Pelodiscus sinensis: one gene and its partners. The protein of the gene in region 2 purifies or fractionates together with the protein of the main gene of each other region. This does not show direct contact. Links are inferred from orthologs where the notes say so. Each region holds a gene or a part of one and is shown on either strand. Other genes may lie near its edges. The genes, in order: RAD23B, SEM1 and UBE3C.

What was found.
Region 1: the proteins of SEM1 (region 2) and RAD23B purify together in Homo sapiens (co-immunoprecipitation; 3 studies listed by BioGRID and IntAct, with this or other methods). This does not show direct contact. The link is inferred for Pelodiscus sinensis from reciprocal best matches to the Homo sapiens genes SEM1 and RAD23B.
Region 3: the proteins of SEM1 (region 2) and UBE3C purify together in Homo sapiens (affinity purification with western blotting; 3 studies listed by BioGRID and IntAct, with this or other methods). This does not show direct contact. The link is inferred for Pelodiscus sinensis from reciprocal best matches to the Homo sapiens genes SEM1 and UBE3C.

The regions. Positions count from the first base shown.
Region 1 is NC_134716.1:6,186,353-6,193,469, reverse strand, and holds the start of RAD23B (UV excision repair protein RAD23 homolog B), read right to left. Parts: upstream 3,077-7,117; 5' UTR 2,863-3,076; coding exon 2,797-2,862; intron 1-2,796. UniProt on the Homo sapiens protein: Multiubiquitin chain receptor involved in modulation of proteasomal degradation. Binds to polyubiquitin chains.
Region 2 is NC_134712.1:210,643,478-210,650,553, reverse strand, and holds the start of SEM1 (26S proteasome complex subunit SEM1), read right to left. Parts: upstream 3,085-7,076; 5' UTR 3,002-3,084; coding exon 2,926-3,001; intron 1-2,925. UniProt on the Homo sapiens protein: Component of the 26S proteasome, a multiprotein complex involved in the ATP-dependent degradation of ubiquitinated proteins.
Region 3 is NC_134712.1:240,091,808-240,099,349, forward strand, and holds the start of UBE3C (ubiquitin-protein ligase E3C), read right to left. Parts: upstream 3,026-7,542; 5' UTR 2,649-3,025; coding exon 2,583-2,648; intron 1-2,582. UniProt on the Homo sapiens protein: E3 ubiquitin-protein ligase that specifically catalyzes 'Lys-29'- and 'Lys-48'-linked polyubiquitin chains.

The DNA of each region.
Region 1 (7,117 bases), on a different chromosome or scaffold from region 2:
AGAGGAAGTTCTTTGCTCAGTTACATCTCTACAGTGATCCAATATTTAGCAACTGAAGAAACCATTCTTCTTCCCCATCCTCCAACACCTAGCCAATACTGTACTTCTATAATCTCAAATGCACACACAGCTTGTCTAGCTGGCAAACCTACTCCCCTAATCTGCTCCTTGCAGAGGTTTCCTAGGACCTCAGAGTTGCTCCAAATCACTCAATATGATGAGCAGGGGAGAAAGGGAATAAAAAGAGAAGGCAGCTCTCCGTGTAGGGATTAATTATAAAGGCTAGTGTTTTAAGCTTATGAAGGACTCTACTGTGTACATTTAAATTAGACATTCTCCCTCAGCCAACTTGTCTAGACCCAATCACCCTTGTGAGCTGGCTGCAGCCACCCTTCACAACACTCCATTTTTTCTTTTACTTTGGGGGGGAGGGTGTTTAAACAATCAGGCCTAGGGAAATAGTAAGGCAGAGTCATGGTTTCATTGCTCAGTCCTAATGGGCAAGGATTGGAAAAGATCCACTACAATCCAAATGGGGTGTTAGATGGCATCAGGATTGGTATAACACGGGGAAACTAGCTCCAAAAGGCTGCATCCACACTCCTCTTTGAAAGGGCACCTAGTCCCCCTCCAATTTTGGAAGTGCACTAAGTACCTAATCTTCCTCTTAGTCACACACACTATTCCCATATGAACTGGACTTTGCAATAACATCTGTCCCCCAGCATCTTGCAGAGAAGCACTCACTAGAGTAGTCAGTAGATTTACCCCACTTACACACCCCCACTAAAGAGCAGTCACTACAACTAATGTCAAAAAGGCTAGTAAAATCAGACACACCCCAACACACACCCCGCCTCCTGTAGCAGAAGCTTGTGTATCTCCATTCACACCCAGCAGAACCAGTAACCACTCCCAAAATACTCCCTTCACAGAAGAGAAGTAGACACAATAACCTGCACCCCTGAGCAGCCAATAGTCTCCACGCATTCACCAACCCCACAGACATACACAGGCCCCTTCCTGAGCCTCCCAACGCAGGCAGCCTCACCCAGCAGAAGTGCTCTAGTCACCCCAATGCCACCCACAGATACCCAAGCCCTGCAGAAAGGGTCGTCACCACCACACACAAGCTGGGGCTGCAGCTAACCTCCCCCCCTTCCCCTCATACCCAACCCCCTTCCTCACCCCCCCATGCCCAGCCCCCTTACCCCAACGCCTTCCTTACCCTAACCCCTCTTAACCCAACCTCCTCCCTCACCCCCCATGCCCAACCCCCTTACCCCAACCCCTTCTTCACCCTAACCCCCTCTTACCCCAGCCCCCTCCCTCACCCCCCATGCTCAACCCCCTTACCCCAACCCCCTCCCTCACCCTAATCCCCTCTTACCCAACCCCTCTTACCCCAGCCCCCTCCCTCACCCCCCCATGCTCAACCCCCTCCCTCACCCTAATCCCCTCTTACCCAACCCCTTCCTCAACCTAACCCCCTCTTACCCCAGCCCCCTCCCTCACCCTCCATGCTCAACCCCCTCCCTCACTTCCCCACGCCCAACCCCCTCCCTCACTCCCCCATGCCCAACCCCCTTACCCCAACCTCCTCCCTCACCCCCCTTACCCCAACCCCTTCTTCACCCTAAACCCCTCTTACCCCAGCCCGCTCCCTCACCCCCCATGCCCAACCCCCTTACCCCAACCCCTTCTTCACCCTAAACCCCTCTTACCCCAGCCCCCTCCCTCACCCCCCCATGCTCAACCCCCTCCCTCACCCTAATCCCCTCTTACCCAACCCCTTCCTCAACCTAACCCCCTCTTACCCCAGCCCCCTCCCTCACCCTCCATGCTCAACCCCCTCCCTCACTCCCCCACGCCCCACCCCCTTACCCCAGCCCCCTCCCTCACCCCCCCATGCTCAACCCCCTTACCCCAGCCCCCTCCCTCACCCCCTTACCCCAGCCCCCTCCCTCACCCCCCCATGCTCAACCCCCTTACCCCAGCCCCCTCCCTCACTCCCTTACCCCAGCCCCCTCCCTCACCCCCCCATGCTCAACCCCCTTACCCCAGCCCCCTCCCTCACCCTCCATGCTCAACCCCCTCCCTCACTCCCCCACGCCCAACCCCCTTACCCCAGCCCCCTCCCTCACCCCCTTACCCCAGCCCCCTCCCTCACCCCCCCATGCTCAACCCCCTTACCCCAGCCCCCTCCCTCACCCCCTTACCCCAGCCCCCTCCCTCACCCCCCCATGCTCAACCCCCTTACCCCAGCCCCCTCCCTCACCCCCTTACCCCAGCCCCCTCCCTCACCCCCCCATGCTCAACCCCCTTACCCCAGCCCCCTCCCTCACCCCCCTTACCCCAGCCCCCTCCCTCACCCCCCCATGCTCACCCCCCTTACCCCAGCCCCCTCCCTCACCCCCTTACCCCAGCCCCCTCCCTCACCCCCCCATGCTCAACCCCCTTACCCCAGCCCCCTCCCTCACCCCCTTACCCCAGCCCCCTCCCTCACCCCCCCATGCTCAACCCCCTTACCCCAGCCCCCTCCCTCACCCCCTTACCCCAGCCCCCTCCCTCACCCCCCCATGCTCAACCCCCTTACCCCAGCCCCCTCCCTCACCCCCCTTACCCCAGCCCCCTCCCTCACCCCCCCATGCTCAACCCCCTTACCCCAGCCCCCTCCCTCACCCCCTTACCCCAGCCCCCTCCCTCACCCCCCCATGCTCAACCCCCTTACCCCAGCCCCCTCCCTCCCTCCCTCCCTCACCCCCTTACCCCTCCCCCCCCGCCGGGCGGGCGCACCGTGTGCTCGGGGTCGATGTCGATGCGGAAGGTCTGCTGCTGCAGGGTTTTCAGGGTGATCTGCATGGCGAGGCCGCGCCCCGGGGCCCGGCCCGGCCGCCCCGCGCTCGCGGCCTGCGCCTCCCGGACCCGCTCGCGCTGCCTCAGCCCCGGCGCGCGGGGGAGGGGGGGGCGCCGCTCGCTCGGCTGGGCGCGCGGGAGGGGGGCGGGGGCGCGCGGGAGGGCGGGGGCAGGTCTCGCGCGCCTCACGGCCTGGCCGCCGCCATCATGACTCGCCTCCGCAGCCCCCTGCACAAGACACCAGGAGGGAGCGGGGAGGCGCAGGGACACGCTCCCCCTGCGCACGCGCGGGAGGCCGGCGGCCTGGGGCGCATGTGCGGGGCGGAATTCGGCGCGGGCGGGGGAGGAGCGAAGGGGGAAGTGGGAATGGGGGGGGGAGGGGTTCGGTTGTGGGGCTGGGATTTGGGGAGTGGGTGGGGGGATAGGGAGGCGTTGGGAGTGGGGGCTGCTGGGGGGGTCGGTTGCGGGGGGGAGGGGATGAGGAGGGGGAAGAGTAGGGGGGGTTGGGGATTATGGGCAGATGGGGGGCTGGGATTGGGGAGGGGTTGGGGATTATGGGCAGATGGGGGGCTGGGATTGGGGGAGGGGTTGGGGATTATGGGCAGATGGGGGGCTGGGATTGGGGGAGGGGTTGGGGATTATGGGCAGATGGGGGGCTGGGATTGGGGAGGGGTTGGGGATTATGGGCAGATGGGGGGCTGGGATTGGGGGAGGGGTTGGGGATTATGGGCAGATGGGGGGCTGGGATTGGGGAGGGGTTGGGGATTATGGGCAGATGGGGGGCTGGGATTGGGGAGGGGTTGGGGATTATGGGCAGATGGGGGGCTGGGATTGGGGGAGGGGAGGGGATTATGGGAGAGGGGGGGCTGGGATTGGGGAGGGGTTGGGGATTATGGGCAGATGGGGGGCTGGGATTGGGGGAGGGGTTGGGGATTATGGGCAGATGGGGGGCTGGGATTGGGGGAGGGGTTGGGGATTATGGGCAGATGGGGGGCTGGGATTGGGGAGGGGTTGGGGATTATGGGCAGATGGGGGGCTGGGATTGGGGGAGGGGTTGGGGATTATGGGCAGATGGGGGGCTGGGATTGGGGGAGGGGTTGGGGATTATGGGCAGATGGGGGGCTGGGATTGGGGGAGGGGTTGGGGATTATGGGCAGATGGGGGGCTGGGATTGGGGAGGGGTTGGGGATTATGGGCAGATGGGGGGCTGGGATTGGGGGAGGGGAGGGGATTATGGGCAGATGGGGGGCTGGGATTGGGGAGGGGTTGGGGATTATGGGCAGATGGGGGGCTGGGATTGGGGGAGGGGTTGGGGATTATGGGCAGATGGGGGGCTGGGATTGGGGGAGGGGTTGGGGATTATGGGCAGATGGGGGGCTGGGATTGGGGAGGGGTTGGGGATTATGGGCAGATGGGGGGCTGGGATTGGGGGAGGGGTTGGGGATTATGGGAGAGGGGGGGCTGGGATTGGGGAGGGGTTGGGGATTATGGGCAGATGGGGGGCTGGGATTGGGGGAGGGGTTGGGGATTATGGGAGAGGGGGGGCTGGGATTGGGGAGGGGTTGGGGATTATGGGCAGATGGGGGGGCTGGGATTGGGGGAGGGGTTGGGGATTATGGGCAGATGGGGGGCTGGGATTGGGGGAGGGGTTGGGGATTATGGGCAGATGGGGGGCTGGGATTGGGGGAGGGGTTGGGGATTATGGGCAGATGGGGGGCTGGGATTGGGGAGGGGTTGGGGATTATGGGCAGATGGGGGGCTGGGATTGGGGGAGGGGTTGGGGATTATGGGCAGATGGGGGGCTGGGATTGGGGGAGGGGTTGGGGATTATGGGCAGATGGGGGGCTGGGATTGGGGGAGGGGTTGGGGATTATGGGCAGATGGGGGGCTGGGATTGGGGGAGGGGTTGGGGATTATGGGCAGATGGGGGGCTGGGATTGGGGAGGGGTTGGGGATTATGGGCAGATGGGGGGCTGGGATTGGGGGAGGGGTTGGGGATTATGGGCAGATGGGGGGCTGGGATTGGGGGAGGGGTTGGGGATTATGGGCAGATGGGGGGCTGGGATTGGGGGAGGGGTTGGGGATTATGGGCAGATGGGGGGCTGGGATTGGGGGAGGGGAGGGGATTATGGGCAGATGGGGGGCTGGGATTGGGGGAGGGGAGGGGATTATGGGCAGATGGGGGGCTGGGATTGGGGAGGGGTTGGGGATTATGGGCAGATGGGGGGCTGGGATTGGGGGAGGGGAGGGGATTATGGGCAGATGGGGAGCTGGGATTGGGGGAGGGGTTGGGGATTATGGGCAGATGGGGGGCTGGGATTGGGGGAGGGGAGGGGATTATGGGCAGATGGGGGGCTGGGATTGGGGAGGGGTTGGGGATTATGGGCAGATGGGGGGCTGGGATTGGGGAGGGGTTGGGGATTATGGGCAGATGGGGGGCTGGGATTGGGGGAGGGGTTGGGGATTATGGGCAGATGGGGGGCTGGGATTGAGGGAGGGGTTGGGGATTATGGGCAGATGGGGGGCTGGGATTGGGGGAGGGGTTGGGGATTATGGGCAGATGGGGGGCTGGGATTGGGGGGGGGGTTGGGGATTATGGGCAGATGGGGGGCTGGGATTGGGGAGGGGTTGGGGATTATGGGCAGATGGGGGGCTGGGATTGGGGAGGGGTTGGGGATTATGGGCAGATGGGGGGCTGGGATTGGGGGAGGGGAGGGGATTATGGGCAGATGGGGGGCTGGGATTGGGGAGGGGTTGGGGATTATGGGCAGATGGGGGGCTGGGATTGGGGAGGGGTTGGGGATTATGGGCAGATGGGGGGCTGGGATTGGGGGAGGGGTTGGGGATTATGGGCAGATGGGGGGCTGGGATTGGGGGAGGGGTTGGGGATTATGGGCAGATGGGGGGCTGGGATTGGGGAGGCGTTGGGGATTATGGGCAGATGGGGGGCTGGGATTGGGGGGGGTTGGGGATTATGGGCAGATGGGGGGCTGGGATTGGGGGAGGGGTTGGGGATTATGGGCAGATGGGGGGCTGGGATTGGGGAGGGGTTGGGGATTATGGGCAGATGGGGGGCTGGGATTGGGGGAGGGGTTGGGGATTATGGGCAGATGGGGGGCTGGGATTGGGGGAGGGGTTGGGGATTATGGGCAGATGGGGGGCTGGGATTGGGGAGGGGTTGGGGATTATGGGCAGATGGGGGGCTGGGATTGGGGGGGTTGGGGATTATGGGCAGATGGGGGGCTGGGATTGGGGGAGGGGTTGGGGATTATGGGGAGATGGGGGCTGGGATTGGGGGAGGGGTTGGGATTATGGGGAGATGGGGGGCTGGGATTGGGGATTATGGGGAGATGGGGGGCTGGGATTGGGTGAGGGGTTGGGATTATGGGCAGATGGGGGCTGGGATTGGGGGAGCGGTTGGGATTATGGGGAGATGGGGGGCTGGGATTGGGGTAGGGTGGTGGCTGGGAAGGGGGAGGAGTTGGGGGGATGGGAAGGGCTGCTGGGGGCACGGTCGGGATTGTGGGTTTCGGCTGCTTAGGGAGGGAAGGGACTCGGGCTGGAAAGGGGGTGCTTGGGGAGCTGGGATTGGGGATGGGGCTATTGGGAGCTGAGTTTAGGGAATGGGATTGGGTGGGGGTGAGTCTGCTGAGGAGCTGGGTTAGGGCTTGGCTGCTGGGAGCGGGAAGGGGTTGATGGGCTGGAAAGGGGCTGCGCGGGTGGGGAGGCGGGATTGTGGTTGCAAGGGAAGGGGCTGTTGGAAGGAGCTAGGATGGAGGAGAAAAGGGGCAGATTGGGGTGGGGGTCTAGGATTGGGCATGAATGAAGAGCAGTTGAGACGGGAGAAGAGCTGGTATCCATGGTCCCTGCCTGGCTGCTACCTCTGTAGAGTGTTATACAACATAATACAAAGGAGCCTGAGCACATGGAAGTTTGGAACGAGCATTAGGCATGGAGGGGACCTGTTTGCCATATTTTGATTTAAAAAAAATCTGTGGAGCTTAAAGATGCCTGTATCTGTCTCTGTAACTCATTAACTCCACCCTTTTTTATCCTAGGACTAAATATAGGGACGTTAACAGGCCACTTCACCTTGTATGTTGGATCTAAGACTAAGACGGGTCTATACCACAGGCCTATGTTGCTCAGGAGTGTGACAAATTCACACACCTAAGCACCGTAGTTTTAAGTGCCTGACTCTATGTAGGCAGCACTATGTTGGTGGGAGAGCTTCTCCTATCAGCATAGCTACTGCCTCTCA
Region 2 (7,076 bases):
AGCCGAGTTAGTCTGTAACAGGAAAAACTTAACAAATAGTGTGGTAGCACTTTAAAGACTAACAAAACATGTAGATGGTATTATGAGTTTTCGTGGGCACAGCCCCTTTCTTCAGAAGACCAGCTGTGCTCACAAAAGCTCACAATACCACCTACATGTTTTGAAGCAAAATACAGGACTATGTAGCACTTTAAAGACTAACAAGATGGTTTATTAGATGATGAGCTTTCGTGGGCCAGACCCACTTCCTCAGATCAAGTAGTGGAAGAAAATAGTCACAACCATATATACCAAAGGATACAATTAAAAAAAAATGAACACACATGAAAAGGACAAGTCACATTTCAGAACAGGAGGGGATGCGGGGGGGAGGGGGGAGGATAAAGTCTTTAAAGTGCTACATAGTCCTGTATTTTGCTTCAGCTACACCAGACTAACACGGCTACATTTCTATTACTAACCTACATGTTTTGTTATTCTTTAAAGTGCTACCACACTATTTGTTGTTTTTAAAGATTTTCCTGGAAATATTATATTTGATAAAACCTATTTGATAACTTTATGGCTTCCAAATGTACACCAAGTATGAGGAAGACAGCATAACAAAAATTGTGAACACCTCCCTACCCAACATGACCTACACCAGTAGTTTTCAACCACGAGTCTGGGGCCTGCAAGTTGGTTTCAGGGAAACCATTAAGCAGGGCCAACATTACATTCACGGAGGCCCAAGAAAGTGAAAGCCTCAACAAAGCGGGTCGAATCCCAGACCCCACGCCCTACTACCCGGGGCTGAACCCTGAACAACTAAGCTTCATGGGACAATCTGTGGCATGGAGCCCCATGCAACTGCTCTGTTTACTACCCCATAACACTGGCCCTGGATTTTATATGCAGAAAAAACAGTTGTTGCCGCACCGGTGGGCCATGGAGTTTTTAACAGTACGTTGGAGGTGTGGGGGTACTCAAAGAAAAAGGTTAAGAATCCCTGATCTACATGTGAGCAATTCCCTTCATTAACCAATATAAGCCATCCCTTTAATCAGCAGAACTTTTAAAGACTTGAGGAAAATGGACAATCATGCATTATTCTGAAGTCTATTCTGAAGTCTTCCAAGATGAAATCTAGGATTGGGGATGTGAAAGCATAAATGTGTACATGGTTAATTGAGAAGCCAGGGCTCAGAGTTACACACAGCCGCCTGGGCTCACAGAAAGCTAGCACATACCAGCTCCTGCAAAGCTGCCTCTCCCCACCCTTCCCTGTACTGCTGCCTCTGTATCAGAGGCAGCAGCACCAGAGTCGGTAGGAGCAGTGAGCAGCCTCCCCCCTCATTCACCCTGCTGCCTCTGTCTGGATAGCAGTCCCTCCTCTCCCTCCGGTGTGTAAACGTGTAACTGCTGGAACTTTCAGCAGTCACATATTCACCAAAATAAACACATTAACATCCCTAAGACAACATTTTTATTTACAAGACTGAAAGAGAAAGTTCCTTATTAATAACACTGTTTTTCTGCACATATGAAGGGTTGTAGTAAAATCCAGGTAAGACTTATTCACTAGCTTTTTATCAAAATGCAGTGGAATTTGTGTGTCAAGATTTAGACTTCATAAAGAAAGCTGCTATCCACTACTGTAATTGAATCCTTTTATTACTCTCACATGACCTCATTTTACATCCATCATTATTCCTTTTCCTTCCCCTTATTAATCTTGTCATCTAGACAAAATGTTTGTTTGTATTTGTTCTTAGCCATTGTGTATGATGGCAAAAATCAAGCAATCCTAATGAAGTCCAGCAACATGAAACACATTAGTTCTAAGGGATGTAAAATCATGTTTAATCAATTAACTGGTTAAACATAATGTTTAACCAGTTAACTGCTTAAAGTGAGATAGGCTTCAGCCAGGCTCTTGCTCCCCACTTCTTCGGATGAGTGTTGTGCCCACGAAAGCTCTTGATACAATATACAATTTTTGTTAGTCTCTAAGGTACAACAGGACCACTTTTTTTTTTAAGTTACAGATTAACATTGCTACCCCTCTGAGACTTTACTACAGACTGAATTTCTCTGGTGTCACAACTTGTTGGACCTGCAGCTGCGCCACAGAGTCCTGGCAGCCCCCTAGAGCAGGGGAGCCCAGGCAATCTGCTGACAGACCCCAAAGTCTGTCAGCAAAGGGGACTGACCACCTCTAGTCCAAGGAAGTGAAATCAGGGGTCCAAGCTGTCCCTTTCCCTATGTTCTTCAGATCTGTCGAAGCTCTGAGGTTCTCTGAGTACATGGAATGCTGATGAATTTCCTGAACACATTTTATTTCTGATTAGGAAAAAAATGCTAGTCTAGGCTTAGGAATGCCTTTCACAAAACAACACTGTATGCATGACAAATGTGTCTGCATTATTCCCTAATACATTTAAAACGTTAATGAGAACAGATTCGTTTTTCAGAGTTCGACACACACGGACAAGACACATTGTCAGGATTTGGCAGAATGGGACTGTGAGCATGGCAGGCAGACGGGCCCGAGCTCACAGAAAGTTACTCGGGCTAAGTGAGCCAGTAACAAGCATGGGTTTCTGCAACGGGAAATCTCCACGTGGTGTGGAAAGCCGCCGGCTGGGGAAAGGCTGCAGAGAAGCCAGCGGCTCGACCCGCGCTTGGGGGTGCAGGGCTCCAGGGGGCTCGCTTCGACGAATGGGGCAGCCCACAGGAAAGGCGAGCAACGCCAGCCCGGTCCCTAGGCCCGGCGCAGGGAGGCGAGCCAGCCCCACCGCGCGCTGACTAAGCCCGGGCAGCTGTGCGCGGAACGGAGCCAAGTGCCCGAGCAGGGAGCCGAGGCCCAACCCCACCGGCACCGGCACCCCCCTTCCGCGCCCCCCCCATCGGGCCCCGGCCCCACGGCAAACCCCGAGCCGTCACCTTCAGCCGGGAACTCCTCGAACTCGTCATCCTCCTCCAGGAGCCCCAGATCCACAGGCTGCTTCTTCTCGGACATGATCCGCCTGGGCCACTGCCGCTCTAGCGTCCGAGCCGGCCGCGGGGTTACGTCTCGACTGCCCCGCGGGGCATGACGGGATGCTGGCGGACTCAGCGCTTGAAACGGCGCATGCGTCGTAACGGAGTCTCTCGGTTGGTCAGTCGGCGATAGCATCTTGCCTCTCCCCGCATTCACTGCTCCCTCAATCGCTCCAGCCCCGCCCGCTCTTTCCCTTCTCGCGCACAGCGAGCCCCGCCCCTCCCTCTCCTCTTGCGCACAGCTAGTCCCTCCCCCTTCTTCGTGTGCCCTCCCACTCCTCCCCTGCCCCACTGCTGCCCCTCAGCCACTGTCACCTCCCCCTGCTCCCTCCCTCTTCCCACCCCCACTGTCACCTCCCCCTGCTCCCTCCCTCTTCCCACCCCCACTGTCACCTCCCCCTGCTCCCTCCCTCTTCCCACCCCCACTGTCACCTCCCCCTGCTCCCTCCCTCTTCCCACCCCCACTGTCACCTCCCCCTGCTCCCTCCCCTTAGCCACTGTCACCTCCCCCTGCTCCCTCCCTCTTCCCACCCCCACTGTCACCTCCCCCTGCTCCCCCCTCTCAGCCACAGTCACCTCCCCCTGCTCCCACCCTCTTCCCACCACCCCACTGTCACCTCCCCCTGCTCCCACCCTCTTCCCACCCCCACTGTCACCTCCCCCTGCTCCCTCCTCTCAGCCACAGTCACCTCCCCCTGCTCCCTCCCTCTTCCCACCCCCCACTGTCACCTCCCCCTGCTCCCTCCTCTCAGCCACAGTCACCTCCCCCTGCTCCCACCCTCTTCCCACCCCCCACAGTCACCTCCCCCTGCTCCCTCCTCTCAGCCACAGTCACCTCCCCCTGCTCCCACCCTCTTCCCACCCCCCACTGTCACCTCCCCCTGCTCCCTCCCTCTTCCCACCCCCCACAGTCACCTCCCCCTGCTCCCACCCTCTTCCCACCCCCCACAGTCACCTCCCCCTGCTCCCACCCTCTTCCCACCCCCCACAGTCACCTCCCCCTGCTCCCACCCTCTTCCCACCCCCACAGTCACCTCCCCCTGCTCCCACCCTCTTCCCACCCCCACTGTCACCTCCCCCTGCTCCCTCCTCTCAGCCACTGTCACCTCCCCCTGCTCTCACCCTCTTCCCACCCCACTGTCACCTCCCCCTGCTCCCTCCCCTCACCCACAGTCACCTCCCCCTGCTCCCACCCTCTTCCCACCCCCCACTGTCACCTCCCCCTGCTCCCTCCTCTCAGCCACAGTCACCTCCCCCTGCTCCCACCCTCTTCCCACCCCCCACTGTCACCTCCCCCTGCTCCCTCCCCTCACCCACAGTCACCTCCCCCTGCTCCCACCCTCTTCCCACCCCCCACTGTCACCTCCCCCTGCTCCCTCCTCTCAGCCACAGTCACCTCCCCCTGCTCCCTCCCTCTTCCCACCCCACTGTCACCTCCCCCTGCTCCCACCCTCTTCCCACCCCCACTGTCACCTCCCCCTGCTCCCTCCCTCTTCCCACCCCACTGTCACCTCCCCCTGCTCCCTCCCTCTTCCCACCCCCCAGTGTCACCTCCCCCTGCTCCCTCCTCTCAGCCACAGTCACCTCCCCCTGCTCCCACCCTCTTCCCACCCCCCACTGTCACCTCCCCCTGCTCCCTCCCCTCACCCACAGTCACCTCCCCCTGCTCCCACCCTCTTCCCACCCCCCACTGTCACCTCCCCCTGCTCCCTCCTCTCAGCCACAGTCACCTCCCCCTGCTCCCTCCCTCTTCCCACCCCACTGTCACCTCCCCCTGCTCCCACCCTCTTCCCACCCCCACTGTCACCTCCCCCTGCTCCCTCCCTCTTCCCACCCCACTGTCACCTCCCCCTGCTCCCTCCCTCTTCCCACCCCCCAGTGTCACCTCCCCCTGCTCCCTCCTCTCAGCCACAGTCACCTCCCCCTGCTCCCACCCTCTTCCCACCCCCCACTGTCACCTCCCCCTGCTCCCTCCCCTCACCCACAGTCACCTCCCCCTGCTCCCACCCTCTTCCCACCCCCCCACTGTCACCTCCCCCTGCTCCCTCCCTCTTCCCACCCCTCCACTGTCACCTCCCCCTGCTCCCTCCCTCTTCCCACCCCCCACTGTCACCTCCCCCTGCTCCCTCCCTCTTCCTACCCCCATTGCTGCCTCCCGCTGCTGCCTCCCCTCAGCCACAGTCACCTCCCCCTGCTCCCACCCTCTTCCCACCCCCACTGTCACCTCCCCCTGCTCCCTCCCTCTTCCCACCCCCACTGTCACCTCCCCCTGCTCCCACCCTCTTCCCACCCCCACTGTCACCTCCCCCTGCTCCCTCTCCTCAGCCACAGTCACTTCCCCCTGCTCCCACCCTCTTCCCACCCCTGCTGCCGCCTCCCCCTGCTCCCTCTCCTCAGCCACAGTCACTTCCCCCTGCTCCCACCCTCTTCCCATCCCCACTGCCGCCTCCCGCTGCTGCCTCCCCTCAGCCACTGCTGCCTCCCCTTGCTCCCTCCCCTGAGCCATTGCCACTTCCCCCCGCTTCCACCTGTTTCCTACCACCACTGCTCCTTCCCCTCTGCCACTGCCGCCTTCCCCCTACACCACTGCTCCTTCCCCTCTGCCACTGCCGCCTTCTCCCTACACCACTGCCACCTTCCCCTCTGCCACTGCCACCTTCTCCCTACACCACTGCTCCTTCCCCTCTGCCACTGCTGCCTTCTCCCTACACCACTGCCACCTTCCCCTCTGCCACTGCCACCTTCTCCCTACACCACTGCTCCTTCCCCTCTGCCACTTCCACCTCTCCCCTACTCCCTCTTCCCAGCCCAACTGCTGCATTCCTTTAGCCACTGCTTCCTCTCCCTGCTCCCTCCCCTCAGCTACTGCCACTTCCCCCGTTCCCTCCCCTCAGCCACTGCTGCCTCCCTCTGCTTCTCCCCTCAGCAACTGCCACCTCCCCATTGCTCCCTCCCCTTAGCTACTGCTGCCTCTCCCTGCTCCCTTCCCTCAGTCATGCCGCCTCCCCTCTGCTCCTACCCCCGCTGTTCCCTCCCCTCAGCCATTGCTACCTCCCCCCTGCTCCCACCACTGTTCCTTCCCGTCTGCCACTGCCGCCTTGCCCCTGCCCCACTGCTCCTTCCTCTCTGTCACTGCCACCTCCCACTGCTCCCTCCTTTCCCCCACTGCTCCCTCCCCATAGCCACTGCCACCCCCGCTTCCTCCTTCCCTTCCACTGCTCCCTTCCTTCAGCCACTGCTGCCTCTCTCTGCTCCCACCTCTTCCCACCCCCACTTCTTCCTCCCCATAGCCATCGCTGCTCCCTGCTCCCTTCTTCCCTCCTAGTGCTGCCTTTCCCTTTCTTGCACCCCCCTTCCCACCTGCACTACTCCCTCCTCTCAGCCACTGCTGCCTTGCCTTCCCTCCATTTTGCATCTTCCCCTTTCCATTCCCACTGCCACCTCCCACCCTGCATCAACATTTTCCTTCCACCCCACACTGCTCCTTCCCCTTGGCTACTGCTGCCTCCCCACCAGTCCCACATTCTCCTTCCAGCCCGCACTTGATTCCTCACCTCTGCCACTGCCACCTCCCACACTGCTCCCACCATCCCTCCTTCCAGCCTTTCCATTTACCTCTCCCCAACAGCCATCTCTCACCATCATTTCCTTTCCTCTTCCCACTCTCTTCAGCTACATTGTCTGATGATTTTCTTTGCCATTCTTTCCTCTTCCATTTTTTAATGCCATCCCCATCACCCATCCCTCTCTTCCTAGTACAGGAACTCCCCAGCTTATGAACAGCTTGAATTCCAAAAGTTTGTTTATAAGTCAGTTGTTTGGAATTCGGAACACATTTTCCCATAGAAACAATGTCAGGTGGTTAGGTTCCCAGGCTAGCCCATGAAAGCCTATTTAATCCATAATGTAGCTGAAATACAGTATATTTTTAATGAAATACGGTCAAAATATTTTTTTTATTTAACCTTGAATGTTGGTGCTTGAGGAAAGGCAGGTTTAGTTAGAGAAAGATGAGGAAGTAGGTGGAGATTCTGAAGGGGACTTCTGCGCATCCC
Region 3 (7,542 bases), about 29 Mb from region 2:
GGAATCCTGTGGCATCTTAAAGACTAACAGATTTATTTGGCATAAGCTTTCATGGATCAAAACCACTTCATCAGATGCACGTGACTATGCTAGTATAGTTTATGAACCTAGACTACAAGTGTTTTGCTACTTTGGCTATACAGGAGGCCCCCAACTTGCAACGCAATTGGTTCTGGGGGAAGCACTGCAAGACGGGGGTGTCGTAACTTGATCCTCATTTACAATAGGCACCATGTGCCATCGTAAATGTGGGCCAAAGACGTAAGTTGGGCGGTTCCAGCCCCTTCCACACTTGCAAAAATGGTTGTAAGTGCAGGGGTCAGAACTCAGGCGGTCGCAAGTCTGGGGCCTCCTGTACCAACATAACTATACCAGCAAAATATCCCTTGAACATCTTAATTTTAAAACTAGACAGTCTGTATACATAAACAGTACCATTTATTTGAGCTCAAATCCTGCAATTGTATCAATCATGCACCCATACACAGCTTGGCTGGACTTCAATGGAGCTCTGCACTGGTGCCAGGCTGCCTGGGTACTAACTTTTGCAGGATTAGAGCTTTTAACTGATTTTTTTTTTAAAGTACTTGGGGATGGGATAGTTTATGCCAAAGAATAGTTCAAATTTTCAGAAAGAGTTGAGACAAGAAACTGATTTTGGATTTTGTACAGCTGGAACCCATTAGTATTGGGGAAATTACCCACAAAAATCTATTACGTAGTATCAGAAAAAATAGCAAAATGCACAATTCCTAAACTCCATGAAAATATTTGCCAAACTAATATATCTACTATAGCATGTCATGTTATGCAGAAAGTGTGATAATCTATATTTTTCATGTGACATGACAAATTTTAATATTAACTTCACCAAATCCTGTACTTTTTTAAAAACACGCATCTATATTAGAGCCTCCTATGGTGCCCATATTCATATTGAAAACTGTGAGTAACTTTACTTGATTAGACCCACTGATAACACAAGCACTAAATAGATCTATAAGGTCAGATACTTGCACAAAAGTGGAGCTACTTAAGTCAATTACACCCACCCATCTAGATCAGATTGCAGAAGTGGTGTGGGTATGGGACAGAGTTGTATACTCAATCTCGGCTTTCACATTTCCTTAATTTTTGAACATTTATCCTGGCAAATTTACCCATATAGGAATTTAAACTTTGTGTGTGTTAATTTAGAATATATGAGAACAATATTATTCTAATCCACCATGATTAAAAATCCAATTGCAATTTGCATAAACTAGAGAAAATAATAACAGTATTAGAAGATTATATACTTTTTTCTCTTTCTGGAGCAGGAAAAATTCTTTTAGCAATCATAATGCGATGCCAAGGGATGTAAAATACCTAAAATACATTCCTGAAGAGCAGGGCATGCTCTGCCAATTACCACTATTACCTATTAAGATTTATTCTACTTTTGGCATACAAAAAACATAATGTCATGTATGTGGTCTAATGACCATAAATGGCTTTTAGTCATCAGAGATGTCAAAAGAAGGTAGTTTCTCCATAATTCAAGTGAATAGTTACACACACTTAATACAGTTATGATGTACATTTTCTTTATGAAAATATGCAGCAGACAATACTGTGATAGTAAATTCACAGTGAACTTTTCTATCAGGTAACAAGTTTCTCTTATTAGGAGAGACTTAAAAGCTTACTGCCAAACCTGGAGTCCCAAAACAACAAACACTTTCCCAAATCTTTATTTGTTGAACAATAAAACAAATACACTACACCAACGCTCAAACAGCTAACCCCATTATAATGATCATGACAGTCAGAACTTGAATCTAACTGATTAACCAGGGATGCACACCTCATCAATCAAACTGCTTCCAAAAACTTTGTTTTGGAATTTGGTCTGAGAATTCTGTGGCTGACAAAAGTTACTTATAGTCTTTCCAACCAGCAAGCCTTAACTAAACCATTTAACGTCCTTTTAGGCAATACTCTAGTAAAACAACATCATCTACTGACTGCTCCTTACTCAGCACATGACACACTGATTTCAGTTTGCCATTTGAATGCAAACTCGGTGGTGAAAGGGGTAAAATCGGGACCTGACAACCCTAAACCATTTGTGATGGAGGCCCCTGGAGCTTCCATTAAGTTTTACAAGCATTTCCGTCCCCCATGATTGGCGCATGATTTTTGTTGTGTGTTTCAATTAAGTCTTTTCTTTAAAAGACACGACAGACATTCTTAACTATTTCCCTTCACTCAAAGCGCCCTAGAAACTATCTGCTCCAAGCGTGGTTCCCACAACAAACCGGATCACTTGGAGGGGCGGAGGAGGGGGAGTCAAAGAGGAGTAGTGTAATTTCTCTCGCATACTTGTGAATGCACCTGGAGCTTTGAGGGGTGCGTGGCCTGATTTAAAACACAAAAACACACCCTCTCTGGGAGTGGGGACAGGTTTTGTTGGCCCCGAGGAGCCCTGAGTCACACCTGCTCCATTTGAAGGCCCAGCAGCGGGGCGCAAAAAGCAAAGCAGGCAGGCGAGGGACATCAGCCAGGATACAGAATTCAGAGAGACCCAGCGCGGCTCTTACCTTCCTACTTGCTCCTCCAAGAGACACCTTGGGCCTGGTTTTGAAATCCCCTTCGAAGCTGAACATGGTTACAGCTTATCCCATCGAGAGCGGCGTCCCCGCTGCCTCCCAGGCTGACGCTGCACCGGGGCCGCGAGCGGGGCTGGGGAATGGGCAGCCGCTGCCCGCCCAGGGGAGGCACCAGCCCGGCCACCCCAGTGCCACCTTCGCTGCTGCCTCCTGCGGCGATCGCCGGGCGACCCCCGGCCGGGAGGGGCTGCTCTCCCCACACACACACCCACTCGCTCCCTCGCTTCCCTAAGCCCCCCCTCTCGGACCACCAGCTACTGCTCCGGGCGGGGGGAGGGGGCTGGCGCGGCTGCTTCACTTGCACTACGAATCAGCCGGCTCCGGAGAGAAGATGGCCGCCGACCAGCTCCCTCTGCGCGTTCCCGCGTCCCAGCCAATCGGCGCGCGGCCCCGCCGCAGCCGCCCGGAACGCGCGCGGGCTGCCTGCAGCGCGCGCCCGGCCCCCTGGAGCTCGTCAGAGGCCCAGCCTCAGGGCGCTGGTGGCCGTGCCGCCCCGCGTCGGTGGCGCAGCCCCTCGGCACCCGCCAGCCGTGGCCACGGCCCGGGAGCGGGGATGAGCACCGTGAAGGAGCCTGTGCTCTAAGCAGGGCCCTTCCTGGCCTCAAATCCACCCCGCCGAGCCCTTTGCCCCTTCAGCACAGCAGCGCTGTAGGCAGGCCCGCTCAGAGAACGACAGAGGGCTGGGCCACTTTGAGTTCAGCGGCGCCTGCCCAGCGCCCTGACCTAACTTCTCATCCACAGGGTCATACTAAGGGGACTACACTAAAACCCAAAGACTATATGAAAACGAACACTTGAGACGTGTTTATTAACAAGACCATGTATATTAAAAATGTAACTTTAAGTGTGAGTTTCCACTGCCAGCAAAACTCTTCATTTTAGCAATGCTTTTTCTGGCTTTGTTGGGTGCACACTTGTTTATATTTGAAGAAAAATCTAATGTATGTGCAACCTCACCTTTTATGTTAAGCATGGCGAGCCCACTCAAATGCTCTTGTCCCATTGTAGAACCATAGTTCTTCACTTGTTTTAACATGTTGACTGTGCATTCAGCCATTGATGCAGGAAGACTGACAAAAATAGGTAATGCAATTGTGATACTAAGAAATACAGTCGACAGGCCAAGATCGAATATTTCTGGAAGCAGTTTTTGGCTTGCAGTCTGATTTAAAGTAAGCGGAATGTATATGTTTCAGGAAGACGGTCTTGTGTCAGAGCTTTCTTGACATTTCATTGTACATTTCTTGAGACTGCTCTGCTGCTGAATATAGATCTTCATCACTTAGTTCTCTGAACTCCCAAAGGAATCTAAAAAAGGTACAAATTTGTAGTAGTGACTCAAATAGACGTGTAAGACCAGATTTGATGGAGTCAATAATAAAAAAAAAATGACTCAATAGTGCCTTTATGCATCAAATTGAGATGTTAGGGTGTGATTGGTGGAAAACTCAGATGAAATGTCAATATCCCATGCTACTGATTTGGACTCAAAGGATTGCATTCCATTGATCACAAATCTCTTGAATATCTGTAAGAAGTCATTCAGTGCTATCCCTCTCAACATCTAATGTAGCATTGCGTGCTTCAATTACAAGATTAGTTTCATGGATCATTTGTAGCAGCTTCATCCATATGGATGACATTAAAATGCATTCAGATTTGGATATATACTTCTCTGCTGACATAAACTCAGTGCAAGCCTGTTCTGTGAGAGTAAAAGATTCAATCTGCTTTAGAATTTCCCAATTTTGAGGACTGCTACTGGAAGAGGTTGTAAAACTGTTGGATTGTTCCAAAGTATGTGATTGCTTCCTTGCATGATTCAGAGCAATCAATGCCGATAAGATTTAGTGCGTGGTTGCCACAACTGGAGAAAATTCAGTTTGGATTTTGCTCAAGAAGGACTGCTTGTCCTCCATTGTACTTCCCAGTCATATTGGATCCATTGTCATAGTCTTGGCCAATGCAGACTTGAAAATGGAATTTGAAGCCTTCCAGAATTTCTAATACATGAGCAGCGATTTATTTTCCAGTTTTTTTGTGAAATTATCAAACAAAATGAATTGTTCTTCAATTGAAACCTTTGAACTTTCTGAAGTTTTAACAAATTGAACAACCAAGGTCATCTGTTCTTTATAAAAACAGTTTGGAGTTGCATCAATAATAATTTAAAAGTATTTCGCATGTCATATTTCTTCAAGAATTGTTGTTTGCACAAATGTTCCACACAGCTTAATAAACTCATTTTGTATTCTAGTAGACAGAAAATGGACTTGCATGCATTTTCCGCTCTCTTGTGATTCACGAACACGCATAACATGGCCTGATAAAAGTGGGTCATATTTGCTAAGAATCTCAAGTAGACCAAGTAAGTTTCCGTTTGTAGGGTTACCCATACAATGACTGGAATCAAACAAAGCCAATCCCCATTCAGAAAGAAAAAGAATGACATTCAAAACCAGCTCAAGGAGTTTTTTCTATTTATCATTTTCTGTATCATCTCCCTTCGGAAGAGTTTTTGTCAGCAAATGAGTGGGAAAAGCATGATTTTCAGCATCTTTCGGTATACAACTTGGAATCTGAAAACAATTAACTTAGAGAAATGACTGCATTTGAGCAAAAATGCAAGAAGTCCAATATCAGGTTCTGATGCCGCTGTTGTTATACTATGTCCTGTGCTAGTCATAAGTTCTTGCTTTTGCTTCATAACATCTCCAAGGTTCTCATTTTCTGCCTGTACAGTCTCTAAATCGACGCAGATTCTGCATCTCTCGCTACCATTTACTCATTTTGAGTTATTATTTACTCATTTTGAGGTAGCGGCATTGAATTGTCATTTGTGGGTACAAAGTTTTCATCATCAGAACTGGAAGTGTCATTGTCAGTATATTAGATGATGAGCTTTCGTGGGCCAGACCCACTTCCTCAGATCAAATAGTGGAAGAAAGTAGTCACAACCATATATACCAAAGGATACAATTAAAAAAATGAACAAATATGAAAAGGACAAATCACATTGCAGAACAGGAAGGGGATGCAGGGGAGGGGAGGGAAGGAAGGAAGGTAAGTGTCTGTGAATTGATGATATTAGAGGTAGGGAGAGTGGGATGTTTGTGAGTTAATGGTATTAGAGGTGATAATTGGGGAAACTATCTTGGTAATGGGTGAGATAGTTCAAGTGTTTGTTGAGTCCTTTTTGGAAAGTGTCGAATTTTAACATGAATGACAGTTCAGAGGATTCCCTTTCAAGTGCAGATGTAAAAGGTCTTTGTAGCAGAATGCAGGTGGTTAAGTCATTGAGAGAGTGTCCTTTCTGGTTAAAATGGCACCTACAACCCCCAACTTAAACCTGTCCAACACATTATCAATAAACTACAGCCTATACTGGAACAGGATACCATACTCAAAGAGGCTCTGGGAGACAGACCCATAGTCTCCTATAGACAACCACCTAACCTCAAGATGATTCTTACCAACCACCACAGGACATACCACACTAATACCAACCCTGGTACCTTCCCTTGCAACAAACCCCGTTGCCAGCTTTGTCCACATATTCATTCTGCTGATACCATTATTGGACCTAACCAAGTGAGTTATAAGATCAAGAACACATATTCCTGCGCATCCAGAAATATAATCTATGCTATCATGTGCCGAAAGTGTCCGTCTGCTATGTACATTGGACAAACATCTCAGACACTTCGCCAAAGGATTAATGCCCACAAAACAGATATCAGACAAGATCACAAAGAAAAAACAGTTTCTTGCCATTTTAACCAGAAAGGACACTCTCTCAATGACTTAACCACCTGCATTCTGCTACAAAGACCTTTTACATCTGCACTTGAAAGGGAATCCTCTGAACTGTCATTCATGTTAAAATTCGACACTTTCCAAAAAGGACTCAACAAACACTTGAACTATCTCACCGATTACCAAGATAGTTTCCCCAATTATCACCTCTAATACCATTAACTCACAAACATCCCGCTCTCCCTACCTCTAATATCATCAATTCACAGACACTTACCTTCCTTCCTTCCCCCCCCCCCCCCCCCCCGCATCCCCTTCCTGTTCTGCAATGTGATTTGTCCTTTTCATATTTGTTCATTTTTTTAATTGTATCCTTTGGTATATATGGTTGTGACTACTTTCTTCCACTATTTGATCTGAGGAAGTGGGTCTGGCCCACGAAAGCTCATCTAATAAACCATCTTGTTAGTCTTTAAAGTGCTACATTGTCCTGCATTTTGCTTCAGCTACCCCAGACTAACACGGCTACATTTCTATCACCATTGTCAGTATAGTTTGTCTAATGATTGAGGAGTCTTTTCTACAAGAAATTATGCTATTGGCATTAAACTCTTAACTGCCGTTTCACTTTTGCTTTCGCCATGTCTTACTTGCACCACTTTCAAATCTTTGCTTCATTTTTATAAAGGGGTTCTTTTAAAACGTAGTAATACATAGTACATTAATTTGCCAAAGGCTATTGGTTATAAAGTTTTAATTTTATATATTTTGCAATGAATATTATGTAGCAGCTGTTTGGGGGTGTTATTTATTATGGTCCTTATAGCCTTATTTCAAAGTCTTGAATATGTTCCCATTATTAAATTCCTCTAATAACAGGTGCATTATTATGAATATAAACATGGGGCGATTGCCTGATTAGATGTAAAGTCTATTAAACAACTAGAATTAAAAGTTTATTATCACAAAAAAGCCTTTAAAGGTGAATCTAAAACTGGACAAAGAGGTAGTTTACAGCTGAGCCTGATATGGTTATTGTATACGAAGACACATAAAAAAAACAGGAATATGAAAATCTCCTATGCATAGATAAACATCTAATTTACAGGTTAAAGTCACCTTCACACCAAGCAAA